Linked DNA regions of Caenorhabditis elegans. The protein of the gene in region 2 interacts with the protein of the main gene of each other region in a pairwise test. Each region holds a gene or a part of one and is shown on either strand. Other genes may lie near its edges.

Region 1 (9,433 bases), on a different chromosome or scaffold from region 2:
TTTTCGTTGGCAAAACATGACAACTGATTTGTTAAACAGGACGAATTGCAAGTGGAATTGCAACATTTTTATCCAAAGAGCACAAATGTTATCGAGTGATTGGTGGAGCAAAATGAAAGAAAAGAAAAATGGAGCTTTCATTCGATCATCATTTGAAATTTTCTCAATTGTTTATTTTATTCATTCTCAACAGATGTTCTCAACTTTTTTGCATTTAGAGCTTTTTTTTCTGTGTGTCGTCTTCAAGTTTTCAAACACAAAACACTTATTTCTTGAGTTCTGTTTACGCGAAGCATATGCAGTTTATTCAAGAACAAAACAATAAGAATAGAATGTTTTCCCATTTGGTGGAGACAAAATTTTGAATATGAAAACATATAGGAGAGAAGTGAAGTAGGAACAAAAAACAATTAAAATAATGGGGAATAACCTATTCTGATCAGTTTTTTTTCTTTTACAATTGAAAATTGAAGATGGGATGACTTGGAGACAAATAACGGGGATATAATAGGTAAATTGAGACAAATGGGAAACAAGCATTTGCCTAGAAGAGGCAACATGTGTAAAATAAAAAAGAAATGATAAACCCATGTTAGCTAGCTACTGTAGGTTTTATTCATTTTGATTACAGCTTTTTTACTGGCGGTATACACTTTGATTTTAAAATAAAAATGAGCATTTTTTGTTTAAAAAAGCTATGAATAATCTAAGCAATTTAAAAAAAGCTTATTAATGTGAGGGGAATTTAGAATAATATAAAAATGTAATGACAATTAAACGTTGAACACCAATTCATATAGAAGAAAGCACGCATGCAAAATGCAATCTTTTGTGAGAAAAACTGTAAGAAGAGAAAAAAACCGAGATTCCGCGTAGAAGACAAATTAAAGTTACTTTTAAAGTTGATTAAGAAATTACAAATTTTGAATGAAAAACACTAGTTGAAAGCGGCAATAAAAGCTGACAAGCTATATCCCGAAAGATATTTTTGAGAAGTTTGGGTCAATATTTTGGCATAAAAATCAGAAAACATAACAGAGTAGTAAAGTGCCTCAGAATCAATACATAAAGAGAAAGTAGGAAGAAATGAATGCAAATTTTCCGAAAACACGAATGCACTGACTGCCGAAATTATGCGCAGAACAGGAGCAACTTTGGGATGAGAATAGATTGGACCAAAAAAAAGAGTATTTGAAAAAGTTACGCGTGGAGAAAAGAAAACAAATTCGACCTAACGTTTTGTTTAAGACACAGGCAACAAGATGATTTGGTGAGGGTGAGGGAAAGACGACGACAGCTAAAACGAGGATGTTAGAATAGTTTGTGTTTTCGCTTCAAATTGATCCTCTTCCATTCGGGCAGCTTATAAAATTCAATTAAGGACATCTTGAAGATCTCCTCAAATTGATCTCGCGGCAAGTGTCGTTCCAAATGTTGTCTACAAAAAAGGAAATGTCAGTTGAATGCTAACTTATTTTTTCATTACTCACCTGTCAACATCTTCTGGGAGGTCCGAATTTGTCGTTTGGAGAAACAGCAGGTCGTACTGCTTGGCAGGTTTGCTCATGTCAGGAAGAGAAGAGCGAAGCACAGCTCCACCAGCTGAGCGAGGTCCTCCAGCTGTTCCAGATTCCGTCGTCGAGTCTGAAAAAATTAAAGCAATTATTGTGACAACTACGGCAGTTTAAAAGTTCTTGAAATACTGTTTAAAGAAGTCTAAACGTTATTCTCTTAATTTGAGAAAAATTAATAACAGAGTAAGAATTTTGAATTTTTACGATACATTATCAAGGTTATCTGATTTCAATATTTTAATAATTCATGTTTGAGTGACCAACAAACAGTGTTTTTTAGATCAAAAATCGTTCCTTTTTCAAATATTGCAAAAATGTTTTGCAAGAGAGTCCATTTTTCATTTTACTGTTTTAAAACTATTTTCTTCACTTCCAACTTCTGTTTTCCAAATTTTCCCATGAAACTTTCACATACGTTCAGAATAGTGGCTGCTAATTGTGGTGTCCAAGTTCTCAAGCGACAAGTTTTGTCCGAATTCCGTCGGAAGTGTGGCGGCTCTGAGTGTATTCGCCCGGCTATCCTCTGGAATGTGGAAGCACGGCAGTGTATTGTTTCCCTGGTCTCTCTCGCCTCCTTGCCAAACAACCCATGGACGCGGACGATTGAGATGACGAGATGGCGCTGAAAAAATGAAAAAGGGCAATGAGTTTGCACTTGAGAAGAAGAAAAGGCGCACGAAAGGAGTATGTGTTGTGCTCTATAGCCAGCTACTGATTCAATTAGGAAAGCGCACAAAAACATACAAGCATTGATTGGGACGTCGTAACGGAATTTGAGATGTGGCATTTTCTTGCCAGATGGGGTTCTGCTTGCGTTTCTTGGATCCCAATGAAGTGGCAGCCTGCAACGTAATTAGTAATTATATGATAAAATATGCAATAAAATATAATACCTTTGCTTCTTATGACTGTCTTCGATGTTTTGCCTGATGACGTGAGCAATGGAAGAATCATTATACTTCTCCAAAGTTTCAACAGTCTTTCTCAACTTGTCCTCGTCAACCTTGTCGCTCTCCGAGTATTCATCGTCGGAAATCTCATTTTCAACCGATGATGTTGAGAGTCTTCTTTTGAGTTCTTCGACGGCATACGGGAATTGTGGAGCAGGGAAATCCTCTCGCTCGATAGCAGGAAGCTGAAAATATATTTCCTGCGTAATTAAAGTTTTGAAATTGAGTTTTGTTTCAACGGGAATATGTATTTTTCCCACATTTAAACATTTCTTCTTAAGTTTAAACATTTTTTTTTAATTTTTATTCTGCACAGTCTGAAAAAAGGATGCTTAATACTTTGATTTGGCGTCTACAATTTAGTGATTATAATTGAAATTCACAAACATTTACTTAGCTCTTGAATGACTAAAAAACGGTAAGTTTATATTGTTTAGTTTCAAATATCTTTCAAGTTTTAACGTATTTTTGTTTTGCAGTACATACCGTGTCTGGATCGGGCACATGTGCAGCTGGATAGTGAGCTAATTCAATTGGCTCCTCATTGTCCATGTGTGGAGATTTTGGACGTGGGATGTTCTTTTCCAAATCCTCCGCTGAAAATAAAATATTTTGTCTAATAAACGGGTATGTGGACTCACTAAGTCTTTGCATTCCAGTTTTGAGCATCGACATCCTTGACTTGCGAATCTTGATTGGTCCTTGTGGAACGTGGTATTGTGGAGCATTTGGCTCCTTGGCGTTCATCACTGGATGTCTCAAGTAGGTTTGTTCCACCTCTGGCAACAAGTACATGTATGCTTGATGCTGTCCAAACGTTGATTGATATTTTGGCTCATTTCGAGACAATGTGGCAGCACGTCCAGTTGGCTAAAAATTGATTTTTTTTAAAGTATAATGTAATTAAGAATTTATTCGAATGCTTTGAGAAAGCATCATCATCATCTTGACTTTCAATGTGATGAAATCGGATACTTTGGAAAAACAAAATGAAAAATGAAATTGCATACCGCGATATTTTCGGTGGTCCGCGCGTGCTCACAGGATGGATGCCAGATCTCGTCTCCTTGCATATACATCTCTTCACCGTCACCAAAATGAGATCCACATCGTGAACAGCGGGCACAAGTTGGATGGAATTTGTAGCCGCCAGCCTAAATAAAAGAAATTGACTGAATAGAATATTTTGGGAAGGTCAAAAGAAGAATAGACAACTTGTTTTGATCTTGGTGTTTTTTTTAACAAAAAAACTTTTCTCAACGTTTTGCAGGGGTACAACTTAACCTTGATTGCAAAAGTAACAAAAGTTTGGAACAGGAAGATCCAAAAGGTTTTTATAAATAGATTGATTAAAATACTTTCTTTTTTTCTGAAAATATATGTTGTTATGGTTTTTCGTAGACAATGTAGTGCTAAATTGTTTTGTTCACAAATCAACTTTGTTCGGTTTTACTTTTATTTTTTGTTATCAACCAAATACCCACCTGTAAGACTTTTCCAGCAATGAACTTTTCACACTCGTAACATTTGACACCGAATTTCTCGTTATAATCTCGAAGGCACAATGGTTTTCCGTGATGTGACATGTACTCTCCATGGAGAACTGCTGAGCACTCGCTGCATTTGAAACAGTACACGTGCCATGAAAGACCGAGAGCGAGAAGTACTTGACCCGAATGTAAAGCTTGGTCACAGGCGGCACACGCTGCAATATTAAGTGTTATACATAAGAAAGTTTCAAATTTCACTGCCACTCCGACAGCTCATTGCTTACTTGTTGGTGATCCGAGCGGAGAGATTTGCTGCAGCGTGGCATTAGCGGCTCCACTCGACGACACGTCCGTTGTACCATTTGATTTCTCCGGAGATTTGGGCGTCGCCGCACTTGAGGAAGACGCGTGTGCTTGTTGCGTCGTCGTCTTCACTGTTATCTCTTTGGATACGGCGCGAAAGTCGTCGGGACACAGATACGCATTTTCTGGTGTTGTGTAGAAGCCCGTCTCGCCTAGATTCCGACCACATTCTGAAAATAATAGATTTTAATAAACCTCGAAAAAAAGTTTTCAAAATGCCACAGAGGCGAACCGTAACGTCACCGTCACCCCTTTCAATTCACACTCATTAATTCACAATACCGCCTGACATCTGCTTGTCTTACGAAGTGGACACATTAGAGCCATCTGGCCGCGTGGCGCAATGGATAACGCGTCTGCCTACGGAGCAGAAGATTGTAGGTTCGAATCCTGCCGTGGTCGAAACTTTTATTTAACGAGCATTTATTCCAGAACGGTATATTTTATACATTCAAAATTGTTCACGTGTGATCGACTATTCCAAATCATAATAATTATTTCTTCATATTCTCAATCACCCGAAATAATTCTTCATTTTTGTTACACCTCATAGAGTTCAAGTTGAGTGTGCCATGAAACAAAATTTGTCTTTTAGCGCCCGGTAAATATTTACGCAACGACGAATCGATTTTAGGTAAACAGTGCGATAATAGTGTGTTTGCCATTTTGCAGGTGGAATTCGAACAGAACTTGAAACAAAAACCAATAAAGTCAGGTTAGATTTCAAATGTCAAAAACGTTTCGCTTCAAAATTTTCATTTTCACACTCCATCGAACAGGCACCATTTTCCAAAAATGGTGACGCAGAAATTCTTGTGTCATAGAGTTGCACATTTCAACTAATCCTTCTTAACAATCTATGATGGATGAACAATGGAGAAGCCTAACTTTCGAGGATTACAAGATTCTCTGCAAAGGCGGTGGTTCTCAGAAAACACACTTTTGTAAATGGGGTCATAAAAAGAAGACCAGTGTCCCCCGAAACAAAAGTGGCCAAGAAAAATATGTGTGTAATTGAATTGAAAGCGAAAATCGCAATTTAATTTTGTTTGTTTCTTGATTGGTAAATCTAACCTAAGAAACACTAAACAGCATAAACAGTAGGTTCCTTAATTTTTTCAAAGGTTGAACTTTTTTGGTTATTAGGTTTTGTGACAATGTTTCTTAGATTTTTATCAATGTTTAGCTTGGAACGTTCTTTTTCGTGTAAGTAGTAATGGATGCTATGCCCTGTTCAAACAGAAGTGAGATAACAACGAGAGTCTCGTGCTGTATTATGTAATAAACACACTGAAACATTTTCCCGTCTCTTCCACAAGAAAAAGCAAACATTTCGAAATGTCGGCACTTCATGGAAATTGAAAACATAACTTTGGATATCTAATCTTTATCATGGAAAAATTGTTTTGATTGAACTCACTTTTGCACTGAAAGCAGTTGATGTGAAAGTATTTGTCATTCGCTTTTAAGACGTCTCCTGAGCACTTTTTGCGACATACGTCGCATTTTTTGCCTAAAATCAAATGGTTTACTGATAATACAGGTCTGCTGAATTTCATTCTCCGCTTGTTTATTTTTTTCTCAAATATCTCAATGAAGATCTACCATCAAATCAATCAAGAAGACTGTCAATCTTCAATTTCCCTTTTTGATTTATTTGTTGCGGGAAGCATTGAAAAATTTGTTGCAAAATAGCTAGAACTTGGTAGCGAAAAAAGGAATAAAAAGAGGGCGACATTGCCCTCTCTTTTGTTGCAGTTTGTTTCTTTGTCTCATTGTAACTCTTTCTGAGTCATCGGTACCAAACTGAAAATCAACTATTATGAAATTTTTCCAGAAACCTCTTATTTTGACAAACAAGCAGAACGGAAGAAATAACAATATAGTCAAAGTATGGACATGGTGCAGGTCGATTTTGCTGCCCAGAAATTACTTCCGGTATATTAGCATGAAGCTAATATCTCAATCTAATACATCTAGAAACAAACATTGAAGCCCAATCATATTTATGTTTATCACATTTCGAATCGTTAACACTACAAAAAACCAAAACGAACCCATGGCAAAGTGGAGACGACGCGCAGTGCTTGCGAATAGTGGTGGTATAGAATAGCGGAGAGAGGTCTAAAGTAGAGCTGTCCGCCGCCTACCCCGGCACTACTGCATGAGGCGAGAGGGGGACGAGAGGAGCAGGGCGAGAGACGCAGACACATCCACACATACAACACTCGTCGCCGCCGCCATTCGTCAGAAGAGACATAGGGGCCCCCGGCAGCAGCGATCAATAAATGGCCCAGCTGCGCGCAACGCTCCCTCTCTCTTTCTCTCTTCTACTCCCAATTCACAATAAATGCATTCCGGCCTTCACTCTTCTTCCTCTCTGAACCACCACCACTACCACCAATGCCAAGGGAAAGCATTGGACGGAGGAAAAGGAAATGCGAAGAAGGAGGAAACCCGGGAAGAAGAGGACAAGAGAGGACATCACTTTTTGCGGGACCCCAATGTCTTCCAATTTAGATAGGATTGATGAGAAGAGTTTATTTTGAGTGGGTAAGAAAACATTTCTTTAGTGGGCATTGGTTTCGAGGAACTAGGAAGCACACCATGAATAATTTCAAGCATGTGAACGTCCAAAAGTTGCTGTCAAAAGTGGGACTGTTTTCACAGTGTAACTAATTTACAGTTTTATTGATGGAAAAATTACAAATACAGTTTTCGAATGTTTGCAATGTACTATAATCTCTTCTATAAAAACGTATTTTATTTTGAATGAGTTTATATAGAATGTTAGTTTAGTACACGCCACGCTTCAAGCATGTCCTGAACTAAATGTTTTATTCAGAAACTGAAGTTAATTCTTCAACTTCCAACGTTAAAAAAAACCAACCTTTATACTGAAAACTGACACGTTCGACGATGTATTGCAAAAGTAGAAATGAGACAATATTTCAGTCGTGCCTGCCTCCGGCGAGCATCTGGCCAAAAACAGACGGCCGAGTTGTAGAGATGTCACACTCTTAGCTAATCAACCGGTCCCGAGATGGCGAGCCAAAAAAAAACACTTAGAAATCTGAATACAACTTTCTGAAATGATGTTTTTTCTGTTCTGAAGATATGTTTTCCACATCATTGTTCTCGAAGTGAAGAGGGCATGTAAATGTTTAGATATGCTTCACTACATGCACTTCTCACGGTTCCAATTTGTGTACAAACGCGGAAAGATGAGAATGCGACAGATAATGTATAATGAAACGGGAAACATTTCACTCGAAAGTGACCTGTTTGTTGTTCCGCACTGTTCCGTTGCGAGAATTGATATGGATGAGAGTGTCCTTCTTGACATAATTATGCAAATTGGGAGCATCTTAATATAACTGTATTGAGATGAAAACAATTTTTACCATGACAATACTTAAACCTACAATAGCCACGCTAGAAGACTTCTTATTCTTGTGCTCTTCTGACAATTGGTACAAATGGTATACAATGCTTACTGGTTTTTGGCCCACATTCGTGTGAAAAACGGCAGCAAGATGTCAACAGTGTAACATTTCTGATTGTGGGTAGTAGATAACAATTCACGCTGCTCTACACCACAATCCCAAAGCTTCTCAAACGGAACGACATTACACAAAAACAAATGGCTCTAACGTTTTTCAAGAAAAGAACCGGTTGATATTTACTTTTTTCAGCATAATGTTCCAAAGGTCGTATAAAACAGATTGCAGTAAACCAACGTACTCAAAATATTGTAACATTTATTGAAAACATGAGAACCAAAGACTTAAAATATTATTCCTAGTCAGGAGAAAAACGTTTCGACCACGGCAGGATTCGAACCTACAATCTTCTGCTCCGTAGGCAGACGCGTTATCCATTGCGCCACGCGGCCAGTTGCCCATCCCCTGTCGCGGCGCCTATACATACGGACATTTCTTCACTGGCAAACGGACTGGTGGCGAAATGAACGGAATATGAATTTAATGTGACTTTAGGGCGTTTTAAAGTTTCTGGTCAAATTACACGCAAATAAAAAATACCAATAAGAGTAGGTTAGCTTTCACGGATGTTGAAAATGCAATATTTAAATATTTAACTAAAACTATTTTTATCATTTAAAAATAGTTTTGAATTTTTCTGATTAAAATTTTTTTTTAATTTTCAACTTATTTCAGTAAGTGTATAAGATAACTAAAAAATCCAATAGACTAAAACAATTGAAAAGGTCCATTTTTAGCTTCTGATGAAAAGTTAATCCAAATCCTAGAAAAGTTTTTTTTTCAAAACTTTTTAAAGTAACGAAAATTTAGTAAATCTCCCAATAAAAATGCGGTTGTATATATGCCTGAAATTCGTAAAAATGTTTTTTTTTAATTAAAGGTGGAGTAGCGCCAGTGGAGAAATTGTTAAAAACCACTACTTTGGTCTCAAAATGACCAAATATCATGATAAAACTTTCCAAAAGTTTTTTGAAATTTTTTTATTTACTGTCAAAAAACATTGTAGGGGTCGAAACATGCGACATTGCTTTGGATTTCTTCAAAAGCTCTTTTTTTTTAATTTTTGGTAATTTGCCAAAACGTTGACCGGAAATTATGAAAAATCTAAAAATTTTTGGAGTCTTTTATTATGATTCATTACAGGTATGATTGTACGATATTTTTTTTAGTTAGCCAAGTCGTGGTACACGTCGATAACCAACAAAAAAATTTGACTGAAATTAAAGTTTTAGCTCCAAATGAAAATTTATTTATGCTAAACTTCATATCTCACTTTATTATAAAAAAATTGCTGCCAGATGTTTCAGCCTCAAAAACACCATAAGGGAACCTGAATGACAACTGAACCATGTGAAAAATCTCAACAATTCTGCACCAACACAATTTATCTTTTTAATCAACTTCATTGCTTATTGATGACGAATTTTTTGAGTTGAATCTAAAGTCTCGTTTTCCTTCACTCTCTTTTTCTTATTGTTAATAATTTGTTTTCATTTTTTCACAGACTTTACGGTCAAAAAGTTGTATTTCAGAGGCGGTTGCGGCTAGCTTTT
Region 2 (7,276 bases):
GGTCTAAATATGTTACACTTTAATCAGGACAAGTAGAAAAAGCAATTACCTCAAGCTGCCACACAGTACACGTCGTATCAATACTACTTGTTCCTATGAGATTCATGTCGAGCTCATTCCAATCAAAACTAGTCAACGGAGCACAATACTCGGCAGTTCGATTTGTGTTCAGCAGAGATTCAATGCACGCATTGTTGTCGGTACCAATCTAAAAAAAAAGTTAAGTTTTTGAAAGTAGGAGTGTACCAAAATTTTTAAATACTTCTTTCTGATAGTTTCTGATATTTTCTTAAGGCCTCTGACTTGGTTAACGTATCTAGTAGATGTTCGAAAAAGTGTTAAGTAGCAAGGAAAATTTTCAGTTTTTGGCACTCATAATTTTGGAAAATGACCAATGACCAAATAAAATTGTTTGACAATTTTGACAAATTTTTAATTTGAATTTAATTTCACAATGCAATACTGCTTACAGAGAATTGAGGCAAAACCTCTCTTGTTATTCAATTTAAAAAAGTTACTAGTCTAAAGTTTCCAATAAAAACTAACCCTCCACAGCCTCAAATAGTCTCCACTAGTAGCCAAAAGATCCGGAAACGTTCCCTTTTGATCGGGAATCCACATGATTTTCGTGGCTGGATACGGATGATCAAATGTGCTCCGATGTACAAGTTCACCGGCTTCTTCGTCCAACTGCACTATATGAATTTTGTTCGAGTACTCTTCGATAAAACTTGAAACCGCCAGCCGAAACTTCCTTGAAGGATCTGTAGCTGCGCTCCAGCCATGGGAGAATAATGTGAATGGAGCATTGTAGGCGTAGATCTCCTTCCTTCGAGGATCACCCCGTACACTGCTTCTTCGTAGATCTGATGTACTGGCGTTTCCATAATTCTTAAATTAGTGAAAATTTTCATCAAAATTTTGAATTTAAATTTAATAAACTTTCACTTACATCATAAATATCTATCGGTGCAACAGAATGCATCGTAGACGTTGAAGCTCCTAAATCGGCTGGCATTTGTCTGAACTGTTGTGATGGTTGTGATTGTGATGATGGTTGTCGTGTTGATGCAGCTATTGACGTTGACGATGCTGATCCATAAAGTTCTGATGGGATTTGATTGAACGGATCCATTCTTTGTACTGCAGATGTTTGACCTGTTGACGCGTTTGGATGACCCATGTTACTGTGATTGGAACTTGAAGCAGAAGGATTTGTGTATGATGGATAGTTGTTCGAATGATGGTGCATCAAATGAGACGATGACGTAGATGATGATGGTGCTGCTTGGGATTGATCAATCATTCGAGACTAAATGAGAAATTTTTTTTTAATTGGGATATCTCTTGATTATTTCAGGCAAAGTTTTAATGGTTCTTAAATGAAATTTTGAACAAAAAATTGTAGAGAAAGTAGGTATTTCAAGAGATATTATATGTATTATTGAAACTAAAACTTGAACTGTTCATAAGAAACAATTTTCTATCAAAAAGTTTGAAAAAACTAGTCGATTAATTCTGAAACAATAAGCAACATTGCTGTCAAGAAATTAGGTTCATATGGCAAACACATGTTTTCAGTCAGTCACGCGGAAACGGTCGGGTGGTCAATATAAAGGTTCATCACATTTCGCAACGTAGGCACAGATGAAAAATGACGTCAATTTTGATGTACATAATTTTTCATCAATACTTTCGCTAAAATGAAAACTCACATTAGCAGACTGTGTCGTCGTCGCGGATGACGATGTGGGTGCCGCTGGCGCGGGCGGAGCTCTCGGTACAAACCGAAAGTCTTCGGCGGTCTGCAGCTGAGACGACCGCTGCGGCTTCACGTTCGGCTGCTGTGTCGGAAGAATTTTCCTGTGAAAAACCAGAAATTAAAGAAATACCAAAGTGAAAATCCATTTTGAAAAGTATAAAAGCCGGAGGAATTTACCGGAGTATTTCAGTTAAAAATAAATATTTTAAAAAAATACAATTTCTGAAATTTTTTTTGAAACCACCTTAAAAAATTTTCGGGTTTCCTGTAACCTTATCACAATGGAAAATGGAAAAAAATAGGATATAAAACAATAATTTTCGGGTGGATAAAACAATTGTGTGTTGGCGTGAGAAAATTGAGGTTTGAAAGAGATCGTGAATCATCATACTGATGCTTTGGAATTAATTCAAATAAGTTGTTCACAACAAAGGCGGAGAAAGTGACTTGAAATCAGAGCAATTGACAAAAAATTATAATTTAAAAACATAAAAACATAACAGGAAATGGAAAATAACGTTAATTGAGAAATGTGAGAAATTTTTGTTAGTTCTCAAACAGAACGCACATCCTCTGCTCAAACTCGAAGAATCTCAAGAGTTTTGTTGAAGCAAATTGCAATCCAGTTACTGTGTACAGGACCCCAATGAATTTGATTGACCTGGAAATTGTATAGTAATGAAAGTTTTGAAACTGGAAATCTCCAACAAAATTTAGGTGACAATTCATAGTTTATGTTTTCTAAGAAACTACGTGCAACAGCTGAACGTAGTATGAAACTTCGATGTTTATGATTCCGGAAAAGCAGGTGGAAAAAAATTCACCCCGAAAACGGAGCCAAGCTAAGTTCGGCATAGAAGAAAAAACTTGGATGTAATTGTTAACTGTTTCAGCAAATGTAATGTAAACATGGTAGAATAAAAACAATCCGCTTCGAAAAACAGTTTTTAAACTCTCAGATCTCAAATATTCCAGTTTTCAAAGTGGCTCATTACTTGCAATTTTTAAGACTGCACCTCTGAGTCCCACTAGTGACATTGTAGAAAATTATGTAAAATTCTAAGAAATATAAGAAAATTTGATGCAAAAAATTAACAAAAAGGGACGCACCTTTTTTACCTTTTTATTCAATTTTCAGGTAAAATGTTCAATGAATGAATGAGATTTTTATAATTAAATTCAAATAACTGCGTGTAAATGTTTTTTTTTTGTAATCGTTAGTGTCAACTTTTGAAAGTTCTCTTTCAGCATTCGTTTTAATTTTCAGGTATATATATTTTTTAATCTCACTACTTTTTGATCTTGATCGGATAAGATTTTAAGTTCAAATTCAAATGCTCACCTCTCCACCAGCCGAATAAGCCAGAATCGGATCATCAACGGGTCTTGGAACCTGCTGCAGATCCCAAATCAGAGCTTGTGAATCGTCTCCAGCAGTACAAATGTGATGTGGACTGTGTGGGGCCCATGCAATTCCGTTCACTGGTCCAGTGTGATTACGGAGTCGACAGAGAATGTTGCATGGCATACGAATGTCAAGAATTTGAACTTCTTGACTGTTCTCGGCAAATAAAGCCATGAAATAAGGTTCTTGTTTGTTCCATGACAGTCTTTGAAGCTTCTCCTTGTTTGGATCTTCATAGACAATTGTCGAGTGGTTTAAATGTCGAAGATCAAACATTCGGGCACTTCCGTCAGCTCCTGGAAACTCGTAATGTTTATAAAAAGATGCAAATACTAGCTAGACAAGACTCACCAACAGTTGCAAAATGATCACGACCGCCATTGATTTTAGCAAATTCGATATCGTGAACAGGCTTGTCATGAGCAATCAGTTGTGTTTTGAGTGTGAATGGAGCTGTCGGCTTGGTCTGCCCAATTGCGCAACCAACCTGAATATTTGTAAACATTTCACTAAATCTTATCAAAATTATAACTCACCTCAACATCATAAATTGTGCAAGTCGTATCTACACTGGAAACTCCAATATACCTCGGCTCCAGCTCGTTCCAGTCGAAACTTGTCAAAGCTGATCCATATTGTGAGTTCTGAAAATTCCATTGAACACTAAAAATTTACAGGTTTAACGTACAGTATTATTGATCATAACTGCGTCTGGATGAACTTTTCCATCAACTACTCGCCAGAGGCGAAGGCAATCTGATGTTGTGGCAATGAGATCAGGGTAAACGTTGTCTGGATCCGGAATAAAACCGACTGCATTGGCTGGGAACTCCATTGGAAAGCTCGCCGTCTCGACAAGCTCGCCAGTTTCGTCTTTTAGTTGTACAATTGATACCTGAAAACGTTTTAATTGGAACTGTTATGTTTCAAAATACATATAAATTTCGTTTTTTTTTTTTTTAACTTTTACATTGGAGTACAGTCTATAGGGTTTTCAATTCAAAATATTCGAAATGTTTTAATATACATACTGAAATACCGCAAAAGGAAAGACAAAAATTATGTTTAAAACCTGAACAGTTCAATTTCGATTTGTTCCGATTTCCAGTTTTTCTAAATTGTGTCTTTGAACTATAGTAAAACTCGACTCAAAAATATAACTCAACTCAAAAATAAGAACGATCGCTGTTTAATCTTGCAGTTCTTATTTTGTAGACAACTTAAACAGTAGATTAGAATTTGCAAAAACCCGTTTTTTAGAATTGCGTTTTTTGTGGTATTTCAGTAAATGGGACCTTATTGACTATGGCCAACATTACCACTCACACGTTTTCAAATTTTTCAAAAACTCACCTTGTTTGCGGCACATGGGTTAACGGACACGTCGGATACTGTTCCCACAGCAAGTCGAAATTTGATATCATTTTTGTTGCTCCATGCCGATGCATACAACTGTTGATCAGACGTGAATTTATAGATCTCACAACGTCGATCACGTCCTCCGATCACAATTTCGTTCTGTCTTCCGATCCCTTGCGGAGCTAATGGTCCTGGTGGAGCTGGTTGTTGTGCGACTTGTTGCATAACATGAGCTTCTCCGTTCACTGCGTGACCATTGGTAGCCATTGCAGGTGATAAGGGTTCACAAGTTTCTGCAAGATAAAACACTGCGTGAGGGGATTATTAGAATAATTGGAAACTAGTAAGCGAACGAGGGAAAGAGCGAAAAAAAAGTGAGAGTAGTAGTTTTCAAATCGAATTCGACAAAACAGAAAGGTTCCAGGGAAAAGACGATCACAGAGAATACGGTAAATCAATAGACGCAGGGAACACGAGAACGAGAAAAATAAAATTGAAAAGTAGAAGGACACAGGAAGAAAATGAGGGAAAAAGAGAGAAAGAGAGGGAAGAACGCACTTTGTTACACTAAATCGAAAACGAATGGAATGGAGGTGGTGGTGGAATGTTGAAGATGAAAAGAAGGCAGTAGAGAGCAGGAGAGCAGCTCAAATGAGACAGGTGAAGTTGAAAAGGGATTCGATTATTTCAACAAGGCAGGGGGGGGGGGGGGTAGATCAAGTTGTTTCTAGGTCATTTTGATGTGATATGACATTATAAATCAGAAAAGAAATGCTAATCAGGTAGTTGTAAAGCTTGAACGATTGCCATGTTTTTTAAAGCACACTACCAAAAACATAAAAGTAAACGACAAACAGATTCAATTAAGTATAAGAAAATTGAGTCCAAAACACCGAGATATGGGCAATTCCTATATTGGGATTTCAGTCTATTCCAGATTAATGCCGACACTTTTAATTTAAATTTGGACAGCCTAATCATAGAGATCGAAAATTTAATTTAAGCGAAAAAATAGAAAGAAACAATTTTAGAGGAGTAAAATTGATCACATACTATAGTTTTGTTTATTGCATTCTGAATTTTTGACAAACATTGGATATTCAAAACTGACTTGATTTGAACTTTTTTGGAGGTAACGCTGATTGGAAAATGAGCTGAAAAAATGTAGCAAGTTTTGGACAAAAATTGTAATTTTCGAAGTTGTCAAGAGGACCAAAATTCAACTTTTGCATAAAAAAAAAGAAGAAAAACTGGAAGTTAGTTCTGAGAAAATTTTTGTTCGGACAATTTTTTTTCCAATTTAACATTATAAAAATGGAATTATTTTGCAAACTTTTCCAAATTTCGAACATTTTCCGAATCTATTTCCAATTTGGAAAAAAACAATGAAAGTTCGAACAAGAACAGAAGAAAATTATCCAAAAGATCACATTGAAAAGTTTGCAAAAAATAGTTAGTGGTCAACTGGGAATACCCGCATTAGTTCACTAATGAGCAACAATGGAATTAGGGAATTAGGAGGAATGTAAAGAGACAGAAACAGTGCGTTGCAGATTGTAACCAATCGATAGTATGCAAATAGTGTAAACTGTGCAGTGTTCGTCTATTCACCGAAGGGGGCCACCGACTAGCTGCACTGGACGAGGTAGTAGGTAGAAATAGGAGAGTTACACAGAGAGTTAGAGACCATTGCGTGAGTGCGTGTGTGAGTGAGTGAGAGAGTGAGTGAGCGAAGCAAAATGAAAAAAGAAGAAACGAAAAGATTCTCTGCGTTACGTGCCGTCTGTCCATCTCGTTTTGCAGAAATGGAGACGCAGAGGTCGGCTAGACGGACATGCAATGCGGCTAGCGGATACGTTGACCCCGAATACTCGGTTGCAGGTGGAAGAGAAAAAATGAAATTACAAGGAGCACATGACGCCAGAAACGGTGCATTATGATGCAAGTTTTCCGGATCTGGATGATCGTAGAATACGTTCCAGTTGACTTTAAAAACACTGAAGCTCCGTGAGAGTTATGTAAAACTGCCCTACAATCTACCTTGATAATTTAGAAGTATTAACTGTAAAGACTGGAACAAGCCATTCAAAAAGAAATCTGATCTGACTGAGCCTGAAATTGTTTAGAAAATCCTGCACATTTTGAATATTTGTTCAGGAGCACCTACGAATCAACGGTTTTATTAGAATTTCAGTAATTTTTAATAACAGTTTTAAAAGCAACTCGTTACTAACAAAACAAGGTTCTTATGTTGTTAGTTTTAAAACTTGTCTCTTTCATTATGTTCATTTTGATAATTCAATTGTATCATGGGCAGCATTAAACTGGCGCAACTCAAGAACTTTTTTGAAAAGCTTCACCGAAAAAAATTTCCGTTAGAATTTTTCAAAATTTCAGCTAAAAAAATTAGGCAAGTTGCAAAAAAGTTTTTGAGTGTTTGATTAACTAAAAATAGTTTGGTAAATTTCAGTACTAAAAAATATTAATTTGAAAAAAAACTTACTTAGATACTCAGATACTTAGACGATCCGTTCTTCAGGAATTTGTGGTATTCCTGCGGATCACAGCAAGCCATTCTTTTTTTAGAAATATTAAATATTAAAAAACGAGATTGATCGGTTATTTCAAAAAATTTAACCAGATAGTCTAGCCGTGCTCGTTTTCATGATTTCAGTCAGAGGGCGATAACACAATGTGTGTTAGCCTAATTTTCAAACAGCTATCAATAAATGAAATTTGTTCCAAACAAA
Region 3 (6,268 bases), on a different chromosome or scaffold from region 2:
GTTATGAAAAATCTCCAATTTCTATACTCCACCTTTAAATAAATTATCAATGGAGTTTTCAGCGACGGATGCGCAGTCATTGTTGTACTAGAAAACCGACTTTCCATTTTGTTAATCAATCCAACAAAATGGGAATATGCACGTTCGCCATTCTTTGCATTTTACTATTTTACTGCTATTGCCACCTTCTATCCAGTTTATGCTACAATGCCACCAGGAATAGAGTACAAAAAAGATTTTATCATAGAGGTGGTTCCAGATAATAGCCTTGTTAATCATAGAAATTAAATTATCAATTTTCAGTCTCTTCCCTGCCTTAGGGCTGGCCAAATGTCAAAAAATACGACAACTTAAAAAATATTCACGTGACGGGGGTCACTCTTCGACACTTTTGTTTTTGTCAATATTTGACGTGTCGAAAACCGACACCGTCGAGTTTAGACACTCGAAACGTTGATTTATTGTTTTTATTTTTGATTTTATTTCCCAGTTCACGTTTTTTCAAATGAGCACAGAAAACAATGATGTGGCAGTTGAAAAATTTAATAAAATACTTTGATTAACAATTATAATTTTCATTCATTTTTATCCACGTATTCAGTGTCGAAAAGCGACACCACGAAGTGTCAAGAAATGACTTTCTAATTTTTTGAATCACGTGTGAGATTCATTTTTCGACTACAGAAATAAATGAAAATTTTTGTTTATTGACGACACTTGGCCAGCCCTACCCTGCCTATCAGATGAAGTTCGCGCTCTCCCTCTCTACCTTGCCGTGGAAAACAAATTGCAATATCTGATGGGGACTGTAGGAGAAGCAATACTACTTTATGTTACCTGCTTGGCACTCTTTTTTCAAATCTACCGTGCTCTTAAAAAATATGGCAAAGTCCGTTCGAAACAAACCTTGGAACTACAAAAAAAGCTGATGAAGGCGATGTTTTTGCAATTGGCAATTCCCTTTTCCATTATCTCCATTCCAATGGCCTATTTCTCATATACACCATTTTTCAATGCGGCATTGAATAATACTATGTATATTATAGTTGCAACACATGGTTTCATATCAACAATTGTTATGCTCATTGTACAGAAACCTTACCGAGAATTTATCCTGGGAGGTTTCGGGAAGTTTTTTAAACTGAGACAGTCTAGCGAAAATGTTTCGGGGATCAGTTTACACTCGATGAATACAATTGTAGCACCAAACCGAATGTTTTGAATAAATACTACTTTAAACATTGTTTTTGCATTGATTCAAAGCACCGTTTTCTAACGTCGTAACATTTAAGCAGGTGATATTCAGTTTGTAGTTATTACTAATACATTTATTTTGTTTTCAAAGGATAGCCACAATTAAATTTAAAAAAAGATAAATCTCTTTGAAAATGGTATTTTGGTTAAATACTGTTCACTTGAGGGCTTGAAATATAATATAAATCGTTGGAGAGACAGGAGAAACGTCAACAGGGAGAAAACCTGTGTTATTATGTAGAGCACATATATTACAATAGGAAGTGTTAAATAGGAGATGTTAAAGTAGTTAGGAGAATTTCTTTTAAAAAAAGTTATTGTTCTGGATCAAGAATTTTTTATCTCACATATTAAGACAACTAAAGCACAAGAAAAACAGGAACGCTAGGTATAGGAAATAGACGTTTCTGGACATTTGATAAAGATGATTAACAGCTGGAAACAGTATCATCTGAATGAGAAAGTTATGTTTAATGCAATGCACGTGTTGAATACCGCTTTATCGAGTTTTCGATTCATTTTGAACACGTACACATAAACTGGGAATAATGCCGAAAAAACAATCACCGAAGCAATAAAAAATATCTTGAAAGAATAATATATTGTTTCAGTAATTTTTACAATAGTGTCGTTCATTGGTACTTCTTTTAAAGCAATGTACTGCCAAATTTATATTATAGATTAGGAATTAGTGTGAAATAAAGTTACTGACAGGTGAATGTTATTTACGGCAAGAGCGAAAATTTTGTTTCTGTAACATTCTTGACCAATGACAAGTAAAGGTGGAGTACCGAAATGGGTACTTGTGTTTCGCACTACGTTGCTCACTCGCCAAGCTACACACGCCGAGCTGCGGAACTCGGAAGGTATCGGCCGCTTCCAAATAACTACCTTTCGCACTTCGTTGCGCACACACACCGGCGAAGGGCGACGGCGCCTCCGCCGCGCCGCTCTCACATGGAAGCCCTATTCCCTTTTTTTGAAATGTATCCATTTTAATAAAACGTGATGTCCATTACCCCTCTTTAGGCTTAGAAATGGTTATTTCCTGAGCCTAAAGATACAAAAACTCCACACGTTAAAAAAAAAATTTAAATGAGGAAAATTTAAAAATGGCACAATACTACAAATTTTCGTAATTAGATTGCTAAAAAAAACAGTTATGATCACTCAAAAATTTTGGAAAAATCGGCTATATTTTGCTGAAATCTCAAATTTTCACAACTAGGGCTGTTATTTAGGACGTCCTAGGTCGTCCTTGTCATTTTTTGATGGCTTATTTTGGCGTCCGTTTAACAGGAAAATTCAGCCTCAAACTCGAATCCAGATAATATTAACCCAAATAATCTATTTTCGTTATCAAAATTAATGTGTTAAGTCCGAGGACTTTGGTATAAAAATTGGGAGGACGATGAGGACGTCCTGTTTAACAGCCCTATTGACAACTTTTCAGTGTCGCAGCGGTTGGAACTCAATTGTCATCCTAATTTCTGCACTATGACGAAAAGTCAAAGGCGTGGTGTACAGACAACTCAGTGCGAAATGTGGTTTTAGCTGCGGCCGACGCTTTTCGGGTTCCGCTCGGGGGTCACCGCAAAGCGCGCGTGGCAGACGTTATCCCGCCTGCATGGAATCCCTACCTTCCTCATAGGATTCATCAGTAGTTCTCGATCGTTCTTCGGCCCGGCCCAATTCACCTATAAAACTAAATGAAACGCGCATTCAAGGTCATTCCTTATATTTTCCCTATACTCTTATTTCGTTATTTTTGTCTTCCTTATACTTACCACGTGTCTGTTACTCATCTATTCTGTAATTACTTAATTCCTCTGATCAACATGACAAGATGAAATAATCTCACTAGATCCAGTTTTGCTTCTTATTTTTTAAAGTTTTCCGAGGGAAAACGTTAGTTAGATTTCCCCCTCCTATCAGGTTTTCTCCAATGTTTTTCAATATCATGATTAAAATTTGTCCTGTTCTTGAACCAATTTTCAGTTTTTTTGCTCGCGGAGCTCCAGATGCAAGCAATCAAATGTGTCGTCGTTGGTGACGGAGCCGTCGGTAAGACGTGTCTCCTGCTATCGTACACTACAAACGCTTTTCCCGGAGAATATATTCTAACGGTGAGCCACTTTTTGTCGGGGCACTTGAGAAAAATTCGGGTTGGCACTTGAAAATTTTTTTTTCAAAAAATCTTATTTTTTAGCGCAAAAATTTGAAAAAAAATTTGAAAAAAAATCTATCTATACTTTTTTATTTAAAAAACCATGAAAAGTTGAATTCGTTTTTCAAAAAAAGGCAACTTCTGTCCGTAAACGTAAAAATGAAAACATTTTTTGAATGAACCCTCTGAAAGTGGAAAATTTTGACCGAAAACACGATTAAAGTGCTAATTTACATGATGAAAATATGAAAAGTTCTTACCTTTTTTTGCCTGATTTTAACCAGATAAAATTGGAGAACGGTCTGAAATTGGGCTTTTTCCTTATAATCTCGAATTAAGCCCAATATTTATGCAGGTATTCGACACCTACTCAACAAATGTGATGGTCGACGGAAGGCCAATAAATCTCAGCCTATGGGACACAGCTGGACAGGACGATTACGATCAGTACGTGCGGAAAAATCTGAAAAATGCGTCAAAAAATGAGCCAAATTTCATTTTCTCAAAATAGTTGATAGTAAATTTTTTCAAAGTTTTCGCCTATTTTAGAGCAATTTTCTATTTTAGAGCGAAACATTCTGAAACTTCTAAAATTTTTAACCGACCTATTGTCTGCTAAAAGTACAATTTTGTTATTGTGAAAATTGCTAAAAATATTTCCTCCACAACTTTTTTTTCTACTTTTTACAATTTTTCTAGCAATTTTCAAGCGGATTCTATTTTATAATGACAAAAAGAATGTCTATCAAAAAGTAACATTTCATATCAAATTTCGTAGGGAATGAAAAAAATCTTAAACTATATCTAATCTATCTAATGAATGTTTATTGTATTTACATGTGAATGTAAATTTACAGCCCACTTAAATTTCCCCATTTTTCTTCAGATTCCGCCACCTGTCATTTCCACAAACAGACGTATTCCTCGTATGCTTTGCACTGAATAATCCAGCAAGTTTTGAGAATGTTCGTGCAAAATGGTATCCAGAAGTATCACATCATTGCCCAAATACACCGATTATTTTGGTTGGAACTAAAGCTGATTTACGCGAGGATCGAGATACTATTGAACGGTAATTTTTTGGGATTCATTTTAGCATCGAAACAACTTTTTTATCATGTTTGAGAGAGATATGGCAAGAAATTGGGTGTGAAACTTTTGCATATCTCCCCATGTTTTTACCTTTTCGGCCAAAAAAGACAGCAACTCCAATGTAATACCCCCAAAAACTCTTGAAAAATAAAATTTTTGCAGGCTCCGTGAACGTCGGCTCCAACCAGTGAGCCACACCCAGGGTTACGTGATGGCAAAGGAAATCAAGGCGGTCAAGTACCTGGAATGCTCGGCGCTTACCCAAATTGGATTGAAACAAGTTTTCGATGAGGCAATTCGTACTGGGCTCACCCCGCCACAAACACCACAAACGAGAGCCAAAAAGAGCAATTGCACGGTGCTTTAAAATGCGAGGAAATTGGAGAACTCAAATTACAGAAACTACAACAATTTCAACTACCATACTAATTTTCAATACATAAAAGCTTCTGAAGCTTTTCGTCGTTGGAATTTCATATTTTCAGGTCGGAAAAAAAATTGAAGGAGAGGATAATCCCTTGCCTTGAGGACTGATCATCACAAAGTTATTACCACATGATTAGTACCCACCTATAACAGACCAAAAAACGAACCACGTGTGTGTTCAAAGCTAAAATCGGAGTTTCACCATGTTTTTGGCGAGAACTCGTAATTTGAGCTTTGATTGTGAATTCTTTTAGGGCTTCCATGTGGGCGCCGGTCAGGCGCCTCCACCGGCCTCATGTCGCCACTAACGCCGCAAGTATCCGTATGTATAGTGCGGCGCGAAACCTCGAACGTGTCGGCCGCTTCCATATAACTACCACTTCGTTGCGCACATACATCGACGAGGGGCGAAGGCGACGGCGGGCCGGCGTGAGGCCGGCAAAGGCGCCTCCGCCATGCGGCTCTCACATGGAAGCCATAGTTTAATTTGATGGTCATCCTAATTTCTGCACTATGACGAAAAGTCAAAGGCGTGGTGTACAGACAACTCAGTGCGAAATGTGGTTTTAGCTGCGGCCGACGCTTTTCGGGTTCCGCTCGGGGGTCACCGCAAAGCGCGCGTGGCAGACGTTATCCCGCCTGCATGGAATCCCTACCTCCCTCATAGGATTCATCAGTAGTTCTCGATCGTTCTTCGGCCCGGCCCAATTCACCTATAAAACTAAATGAAACGCGCATTCAAGGTCATTCCTTATATTTTCCTTATACTCCTGTTTCGTTATACTTTTCTTCCTTATACTTACCACGTGTCTGTTGTTTGTCCCCATTTACTCTTCTATTCTGTAATTGCTTCATCCCTTTAATAAACACGACAAGATGAAATATTCTTACTATATCCAGTTTTGCTTCTCATTTTTTAGTTTTTCGAGGGAACAAGTTATGGGGTTATTCAAGTAGTGTCGGAAAATTAAAAGGTGTAGGAATATTACGTCACTTTGTGTATTAAAATACATAAAAAACATGTACATAAAGTGACCTAATATTCCTACACTTTTTTAATTTTCCGACACTACTTGAATAACCCCATTAGGTTTCCCCCCGAAGGTTATCTCCTATATTTTTCAATATCATGATTAAAATTTTTCCTGTTCTTGAACCAATTTTCAGTTTTTTTGCTCGCGGAGCTCCAGATGCAAGCAATCAAATGTGTCGTCGTTGGTGACGGAGCCGTCGGTAAGACGTGTCTCCTGCTATCGTACACTACAAACGCTTTTCCCGGAGAATATATTCTAACGGTGAGCCACTTTTTGTTGGGCAATTTGAGAAAAA
Region 4 (7,115 bases), 3.3 Mb from region 2:
GAAAAATTAAAATGAAAAAATTTAGAGTTAGGACTGTTATTGAAAATATCTCAATTTTTTGTGCAAAACTTATGTTAGGCTAGAAAAGGAACATATTTTCAGTAATAGAACTAATTAAACTGACTACACAACTGGAAAACAAGAGTGAAACGAGTATGTATATTGTTTGTTTTTCTCTTCGATATTTGCACTTTTCGTTTTCAGTTATCTGGTTTTTCAGTTGGAAAAATAGTTAAAGCCGGCACAAAGTTAATGACTGAAAGACTCAAACTAAAACTGAATACATTACAAATAAAGAAGCCAGGAAAAGGAGATGAATTTACTGAAATGCTAAGAGAAACGAGCGGTGCAAGAGTATGCGTGCGTGATGGAGAGAAGCGGGTGAATTTCACAAAACGTGCCGAAATCGAGAATCGAAAATGGGAAAGTTTTGCACAGACAACGGGAGGTGGACGCTTAGAGACAACGAATGGAATAGTGCTGATAACAATAAATGCACACTGCTGATCTGCACGTCGTCTTTTAGAAAAGAGAAAGAGGAAAAGAGTGAAAACTACCGTATGTTTCTTTTTCAATTCCAGAAATTCTAATTTTCATTCCAATACATTCTCTCTTTTTCTGTTTATTTCAGTCGCTGCATTTCCATGCTTGTTTTGATGTGAATTTCCGGTTTCACGCTTTTTTCAGGTCTACGTGACATTCTCCTCATATTTTCTTATCGAGAGGAGAACGACATCCTTTTCCGAGACGATGCCGTTCATTCTTTTCCATTTGGATGGGAAAGTGGAGGAAGATTCTCATGAGGGTGAGATAGATCAAAAAGATATTCAGAGAATAAGTGAAAGAAGAGCTACGTGAACTTTGACACATTTGTTGGTATAACAGGAAAGAAGAAGCATTGCGACTCGAAGAAAATAATGAATGAGCTGCTTTTTTGCTTCCTCGTCCGGTGGATAACTGAACAATGAGCCGAAAAATAAAAGTAATGGGTTGAGAGGCATGATGAGCAGAAGTTAATGACAGAAGACGGTAGAAATTTTTTATAAGTTAATAATGAATCGTGCTGGGATCAACAGATGAAAATAGACATTTGAAAATGAATTCATATGTTCCACTACATTTTTTGTGTTTCCATTCTAAACGGAAGGACTTCTGAACGGAATGAAAAAGCATGATATTTTCTTAACTCAATAGTGCTCATCAGATTTTCTGAAGAGATAACAAAAATATCAAGTATGCTCACTATAAAACTTCCAGTCTTCATCAAAAGTGAATTTTTCTGTCACCTGACTCACTGTCTACTACTATCATCTCCGAACCCTTTGAACGCGTGATCCATCCCTGTCTACTCGTTCCTATCAACATCAAACAAATCGAGTTCACTTCCATTTTATAATTACTCAGAGAGCACAAAACCGACCAGCCAATTTATTTTGTTGCTGTGTGGCTCTGTTTCTAACCGCTTGGTTTAACTGCCATTTTGTGCAGCATTGCCGTCCGCTCCACACACACACACGCTTCTCACAAATCACGTAAAATTCGGGAGGGCTCGCAGAATCCGCACGTTGGCATGAGCCTAGATACACATATTCACATCAAATAGTTGGTATTTTCACCAATGAAACTAACATGGAAATACGGAAATAAAAAGGTTTTGGCCTTTCGATGAGACTTTAGATGATTACGTTTACTAACCTGAATATCCGGATCATCAGTTTGAATTATCTTTTCTTTTCCAACAGTTATTGTCTCGCTTTTGCCTGAACTTGTAGCTGAACTTGTCGTTGTCGCTGGAGGTGGAATAGTTGCTGTGGAAGCAGTTGACGGTACCGAAGTTGTGACAAGAGCCAACGAAGCTGGTGAATCTCCAGCAAGACTCAAAACTTGAGCTTAAAGATCTTTTATATCAAAAAACTGTTAAATTGGTAGCTTACCGAGTCTACTGATATCACTTTGAGCAGTACTACTTGTTGGGAACATTGCAAGGGAAGCTGATGACATGTGTTCAAGTGATGCTTCATGTGATGTGCACATGGAAGACATTGATTCAGAAGAAATTGAATTAAACACATGCGTATTTCTGTATGGTTTGAATGCACTTCCTTCACTACTGAACGGTACTGTACTTGTTGATGATATCCTTTGTGGAATTTGGATTGGAATCGATGGCTCTGGTTCGGTCTTCGATGTGATCGAAAATGTTGGCGGAAAATTTGAAATAGTTTGATTCAGAATTGGATTATTTTGAAGAGATAGAAGAAGTGACGTGGTAAGTGCAGGATCATCAAACGAAACAGTAGGTGGAATTGGAGCCATAACAGCAGGTGCTGCCTGAGGCATCAAATTACTTGGCACCATGCCACTTGTTTGAAGTGACTTGCATATCATTTTATGTGTTAGCCAATCGAGTTGCTGGAAATTAGATATTGATTCTGAGTTTCGTATTGGAAAAACTAAAAGTTGTAGAACTATTTGAAATACTGAACAAGAATAATACCCTCTACTTCCTCATTTTGTTTTTGCATGTGTTTTTAGCAAATTGTATTCAAAATTTTGATCTCATCTATGGCAAATAAATTAAAAAATTGCAAGCGTCTAAAAATTGAAATCCATAAGTCGCTTTAAAAAAATTGTCTACGTGACACTTGTGATGTTTCAATTTGTGAAAAGTGCACGGGCGTGGCTTGATTTGGGTTATGTCTAATGAGAGAAAGGTGTGATGTTTAGTAAGAAAAATAAGTTGTTGAGCATAAATCAGAATATTTATGAAACGACGTGGGAAACTAAACAAATTTTTTATTTGCATGTTGTTGATGGACGTGTCTAGAAAAGTAATAAGATCAAAAAGTTGACAATGGGAACACAAAAGAGGAAAAGTTTTAGAAATACGAATGAATCATATTGTGATTTTTGTTGCACTCAAATAAGGAAGTAAAATATTTTGAAGCAACATATTCTCGTCTAATAGTATACTATGGCCACAACATATACCTCTAAGAATTGTTTCCGTCTTTTGTTAAAGTTTGATATTTCCCAACTTTTATGCTGAATAATTTAGGAAGTTTAAATGTAGAGGGTCACTATGATTATATTATTAGTGGTTCTTATTGAAAATTATATTTTTTAACGAAACAAGTTTCAGAACTTTTTCAATACTTTTAATAACTAGACTATTGTTCTTGAGAACGTCACAACTTTTTCTGGGTTATCTACAATCCTCCGTCCAAATTCCGTCGATAAAATCTAAAATCGCTGCCACAGCTTTTTTCTCGAAATTAAAATTTCTTCCTATTGTCATCATCTATTTCCCCTATTTCATTTTGATGTTTTTGCAGTAAACACAGACATTGGTCTACAAATGTTTCTGTCTTTCTTGTCTGCGCACATATGCTTCAAAAAGCTCTTTCTCGGGAGGAGGGCAGCCAGCCGAAATGTTCGAATCGACACGTTCTTGCGCGATATGCAGGTTCAGGTTATTTTCCGAAAAATTCAACAAAAATAAGACAACTATAATTGGAAGTAGTTGTCAGAAACAAAGTATAATTTTAAACAGGAACTAGATTTGATTCCCATAAATAGCCAGTTCAAAAATTCGAAAAGAAGGGAGGAATTAGAGTCAAAAACAGATTTAGGGTAGATGCATCGTGAGAAGGGACGGATTACGTGAGAACACTTGTTTATCTAATCAGCAGGACCCCCATTATTTTGTTGATCAACGAATACACCCTACGGTACCAACCTGGTGCTCCTTGGAACAATAAGCCACTGTTCCACAGAATAAACATGTTTGCAATTGGGAAGATGTGCACGAGCTTCCACAATATGTACACTGTAAAACAGCTGTAGAAGAAGATGGTTGACTGAGCATCTGAATAATTATTCATTATTAATGTGACCCAAATATGTAATTCTGAAAAGTTATGCTTTTTTGAAAAATGTACGATTTCAGTGATTTTTAACTCTAATGCGAATAGGGGTTCCATACTACAAACAAAACTTCAAAATTGCTAGACTTAATAAACTAGTCCCATTGATGCAGTGTTCACCACATACAGAAGTACAGTATCCTTTTTACAGATTTTTTGAATAGTGAATTTCAGAAAACAGAGTAATAACTGTTTAAAAATCACTTAGGTAATTCATTTTAGGTGTTCAATTTTCAAAGGTTGGTAATAAGAGTTTAAATTTTCTAACTAAAGTAGTTTAACATACCAGCGTTGTAAAAAGTGAAGCGGTAGAAGGTGTTCCCTTGTCGATCTCACAGTCATCATTTGGGGCACTGCTCATGTCATGTGCTGCAACTTTTTTCTGTCACATTCAGTATCTGGCAGTGATCAGAAAATAACCGAAAAATATGTGAACGTGATAAAATGAACGACGTGGCACCGAAACTGATTGTTTGCGTGTCTTGTGTGCTCATCTCTCTCTCTCTCTCGTGCTTTTTTCTCTCTCTCTTTGCATTTCTCTTATCATTAAAAAAAATGTCCATCTTAGCGTTGATGATTTGCACGACGACATTTTGCCGTTTATCACACGAAGAAGTTAAGAAAAAAAAATTGAAAACGAAAAAAACTGTTCTCAGTACTAGATGAACGGTGAAAGAAATGTGTGGTGGTTGTGATTGGACGGATCAAAGAGACACGATGACAAAGAAAATCGAACAAATTTGATCAAGAAAACAATATAGATTAGAAGTAAAACAGAAATCACAAGGGATTATCCTGGTATATTGTCTAAATAGTAATAACAAAATATGGTTTCATTGATTCAAAAAGTTATCTGTCAATTGATGCCGTTAACCTTCAAATGAAATTTGATTTCAACGTTTAAAAGACGTGTTATTCAGGTTAAAAATTGTTTGATATAAAAGGAATGTGTAGTATGGACTACTCTTCAATAGTTTCCGGAAACACTTATAATTAAAGTGCACTCTTAATCGGCCTTTGAAAAAAAAATGAAATGAGAACGTTCGAAAGAAAAGTTCAGAAATATAAAAAATTAAACTAATTCAAGTAACACAAAAGAAACGGTTTCAAAACGGAAGTTACAGACTATTTCTTTGCAATTTTTAAAAATAATTTTAGGATTTCTCGGTGGAAATCACTTCGACCTTCATCATTGATACGGTAAATCAAGAACGATTTTCTTAAAAGTTATTAAACTGAACAAATTTACGATACATTGTACTCTATACACCAGATGGCATGAACATAGAAACACATTTTTTGGGAATAACGAGACAAAGCTTTGAAATAAGGAATATCTGTATTTTTTCTTCAAAACTTGAATTAATATGTACATTTCAGCAAAGAAAAAACAAAGAGAAATCTTATGACCAATCAAGTGAACACCAATGAGATGCTAAACAAGTTTGACTGAACTTCATCACATGGTAATAACTTTTTATTCATCAATTTTAAAATTTTTATGTTCTAAAATGTTGTGCAGGGTGTTTGGTGTCAAAACAAGGTTGCATCAATCCAGAGAAAAAGAGATGGAACATATTACGTCACGCACTTTTTTACATTCCCACACCTTACGAAAGAGGGCAGAAATTGAAACGAAGAGAAATGAGAAGAAGATATGGAAGGAACAAGAGTTTTGAGAGAGGAATGTGAGACAGATGGGTGCACTCTTTTGCGACATGTTTCTTGCCTATTCCAAAGATCACTCTTTTATATTTGAATAGATAAAAGAGTAGATCTTCGGAAAAGTTTTAGGAAATTTAAGTGTAATCAGGTACAGTAGTCATAAGAAGATCGAATAATTGTTTGATAGTTAAAAAAAAGAACTTTGATATAATAATTGAAAAGTCCGTGATGCTTTACCCAGTTAATTGGAAGAGCATAACAAAAAATGCAATGCGCGGAAAATGACGAAGCGGGAGATCTTTCCTCTTCATTTTCTCTCTCTTTTTCTTCTCATTCTCTCTTTCACACACATACACGCATATAGGAGGAAATCGAGAGATAGAGAGAGACACCAAAACTGTCTACGTGCGCAAATGAAAAATTGGTAAGACAGTTAGAGACACAGACATAATGGTAGATGAGAGCACGGAGACGCAGATTGTGTTGGAACGTGAAAAGCGCACGCTCACATGCACGCGCACTCTGCTTCTCCACCAATCTCTTTACTATCTCAATGTGGTACAAGGTGTGAGGAGATTCGGAAAGGAATGGTCTTTGAGGTCTTTCGTGGGTGATGCAAATTTTTTTTAATCTTTAGCATAACTTGTTGCACATTATGCTGATTTTTCAAGAATTAAGTATAACCTGAAAACTGAGGACTGTTATTAAGAATAAAATGAAGGCATTACTAATTGTCAGTTATCAAGTATTTTTCTGAGGAAAACGTTTGTTCGCTGCATAGAGAAAACATGAATCTTTGAGATAGAACTTGGAAAAACAGTGCAATTTTCTTTTTTTCATGGCCTATAGAATTACTCCAGGTACTGTTTTAGCACACTTTTGGTGTTTTTAGTATGCTCATGTGTAGATAAATGTTGTGGTAGTTTTTGAAAAATTTAAATGTTGAAAAAAAATCACATTAGTGGGTTTTGAAAAATGTCACATTTTTTACAAATATTTAAATTTTTCCCAACATTTTGATTGAGTGATATAATACTTCTAATTAGAATTCTAAATGAAATGGCACGCAACGTTTTGTATTCTGCAAGTAAAATGGAACGTTTTTCTTTTGTAAGAAATTTTGAGAAAAAAAACCAAAATCCCTAAATGAAACCGTAAAACATTAATTAGATTATTATTAAGAATTCAACTGCTAGCAGATTTTTGAATTAAAAAATTGACAAACAAAATGATCTTGAATCGTTGTAATTATTTAATAGATCAGTCTCACTCAGACCTCGCAATTGTCATTACAACACAATAGAATTTGAAATTTAGTCGATAAACATTGATCATTCAAAGTTTAGGTCGGATAAATCGTCATTTAAAAAACGGAAAAAATCTCACAAAACAAATCACAACATTTTCAGACGCTCTTTCAAAATATGCAAAATCTTAAACTTCAAAGACATTACCATATTGTGAAAAAACATCTGTCAGTATATCGTGAAATGTTTTCTTGGTACGTAAAATTAGGAGTTGAAA

What was found.
Region 1: the proteins of swan-1 (region 2) and unc-115 interact in a two-hybrid assay, tested with the Caenorhabditis elegans proteins (one study listed by BioGRID).
Region 3: the proteins of swan-1 (region 2) and rac-2 interact in a two-hybrid assay, tested with the Caenorhabditis elegans proteins (one study listed by BioGRID).
Region 4: the proteins of swan-1 (region 2) and egl-9 interact in a two-hybrid assay, tested with the Caenorhabditis elegans proteins (one study listed by BioGRID).

The regions. Positions count from the first base shown.
Region 1 is NC_003284.9:10,143,995-10,153,427, reverse strand, and holds unc-115 (Actin-binding lim zn-finger protein limatin involved in axon guidance), read right to left. Parts: upstream 5,937-9,433; coding exon 5,798-5,936; intron 4,780-5,797; exon of another isoform or gene 4,707-4,779; intron 4,548-4,706; coding exon 4,299-4,547; intron 4,230-4,298; coding exon 4,009-4,229; intron 3,679-4,008; coding exon 3,535-3,678; intron 3,395-3,534; coding exon 3,166-3,394; intron 3,121-3,165; coding exon 3,011-3,120; intron 2,949-3,010; exon of another isoform or gene 2,848-2,948; intron 2,710-2,847; coding exon 2,468-2,709; intron 2,417-2,467; coding exon 2,319-2,416; intron 2,197-2,318; coding exon 1,990-2,196; intron 1,645-1,989; coding exon 1,491-1,644; intron 1,439-1,490; coding exon 1,312-1,438; downstream 1-1,311.
Region 2 is NC_003283.11:13,802,419-13,809,694, forward strand, and holds swan-1 (WD_REPEATS_REGION domain-containing protein), read right to left. Parts: upstream 4,820-7,276; 5' UTR 4,794-4,819; coding exon 4,521-4,793; intron 4,063-4,520; coding exon 3,856-4,062; intron 3,812-3,855; coding exon 3,704-3,811; intron 3,655-3,703; coding exon 3,519-3,654; intron 3,464-3,518; coding exon 3,105-3,463; intron 2,424-3,104; coding exon 2,340-2,423; 3' UTR 1,977-2,339; downstream 1-1,976. Other genes in the region: swan-2 (WD_REPEATS_REGION domain-containing protein), read right to left, coding at 1-3, 50-208, 547-891, 953-1,306.
Region 3 is NC_003282.8:16,304,950-16,311,217, forward strand, and holds rac-2 (Ras-related protein rac-2), read left to right. Parts: upstream 1-3,275; coding exon 3,276-3,380; intron 3,381-3,776; coding exon 3,777-3,868; intron 3,869-4,307; coding exon 4,308-4,493; intron 4,494-4,675; coding exon 4,676-4,880; downstream 4,881-6,268. UniProt on the Caenorhabditis elegans protein: During gonad morphogenesis, plays a role in distal tip cell (DTC)-mediated guidance of gonad elongation.
Region 4 is NC_003283.11:10,465,697-10,472,811, reverse strand, and holds the start of egl-9 (Hypoxia-inducible factor prolyl hydroxylase), read right to left. Parts: upstream 4,296-7,115; 5' UTR 4,288-4,295; coding exon 4,213-4,287; intron 3,869-4,212; coding exon 3,740-3,868; intron 2,413-3,739; coding exon 1,935-2,412; intron 1,890-1,934; coding exon 1,696-1,889; intron 1,580-1,695; exon of another isoform or gene 1,518-1,579; intron 1-1,517. UniProt on the Caenorhabditis elegans protein: Cellular oxygen sensor which regulates the stability and the activity of hypoxia-inducible transcription factor, hif-1. In normoxic conditions, hydroxylates hif-1 targeting it for vhl-1-mediated proteasomal degradation.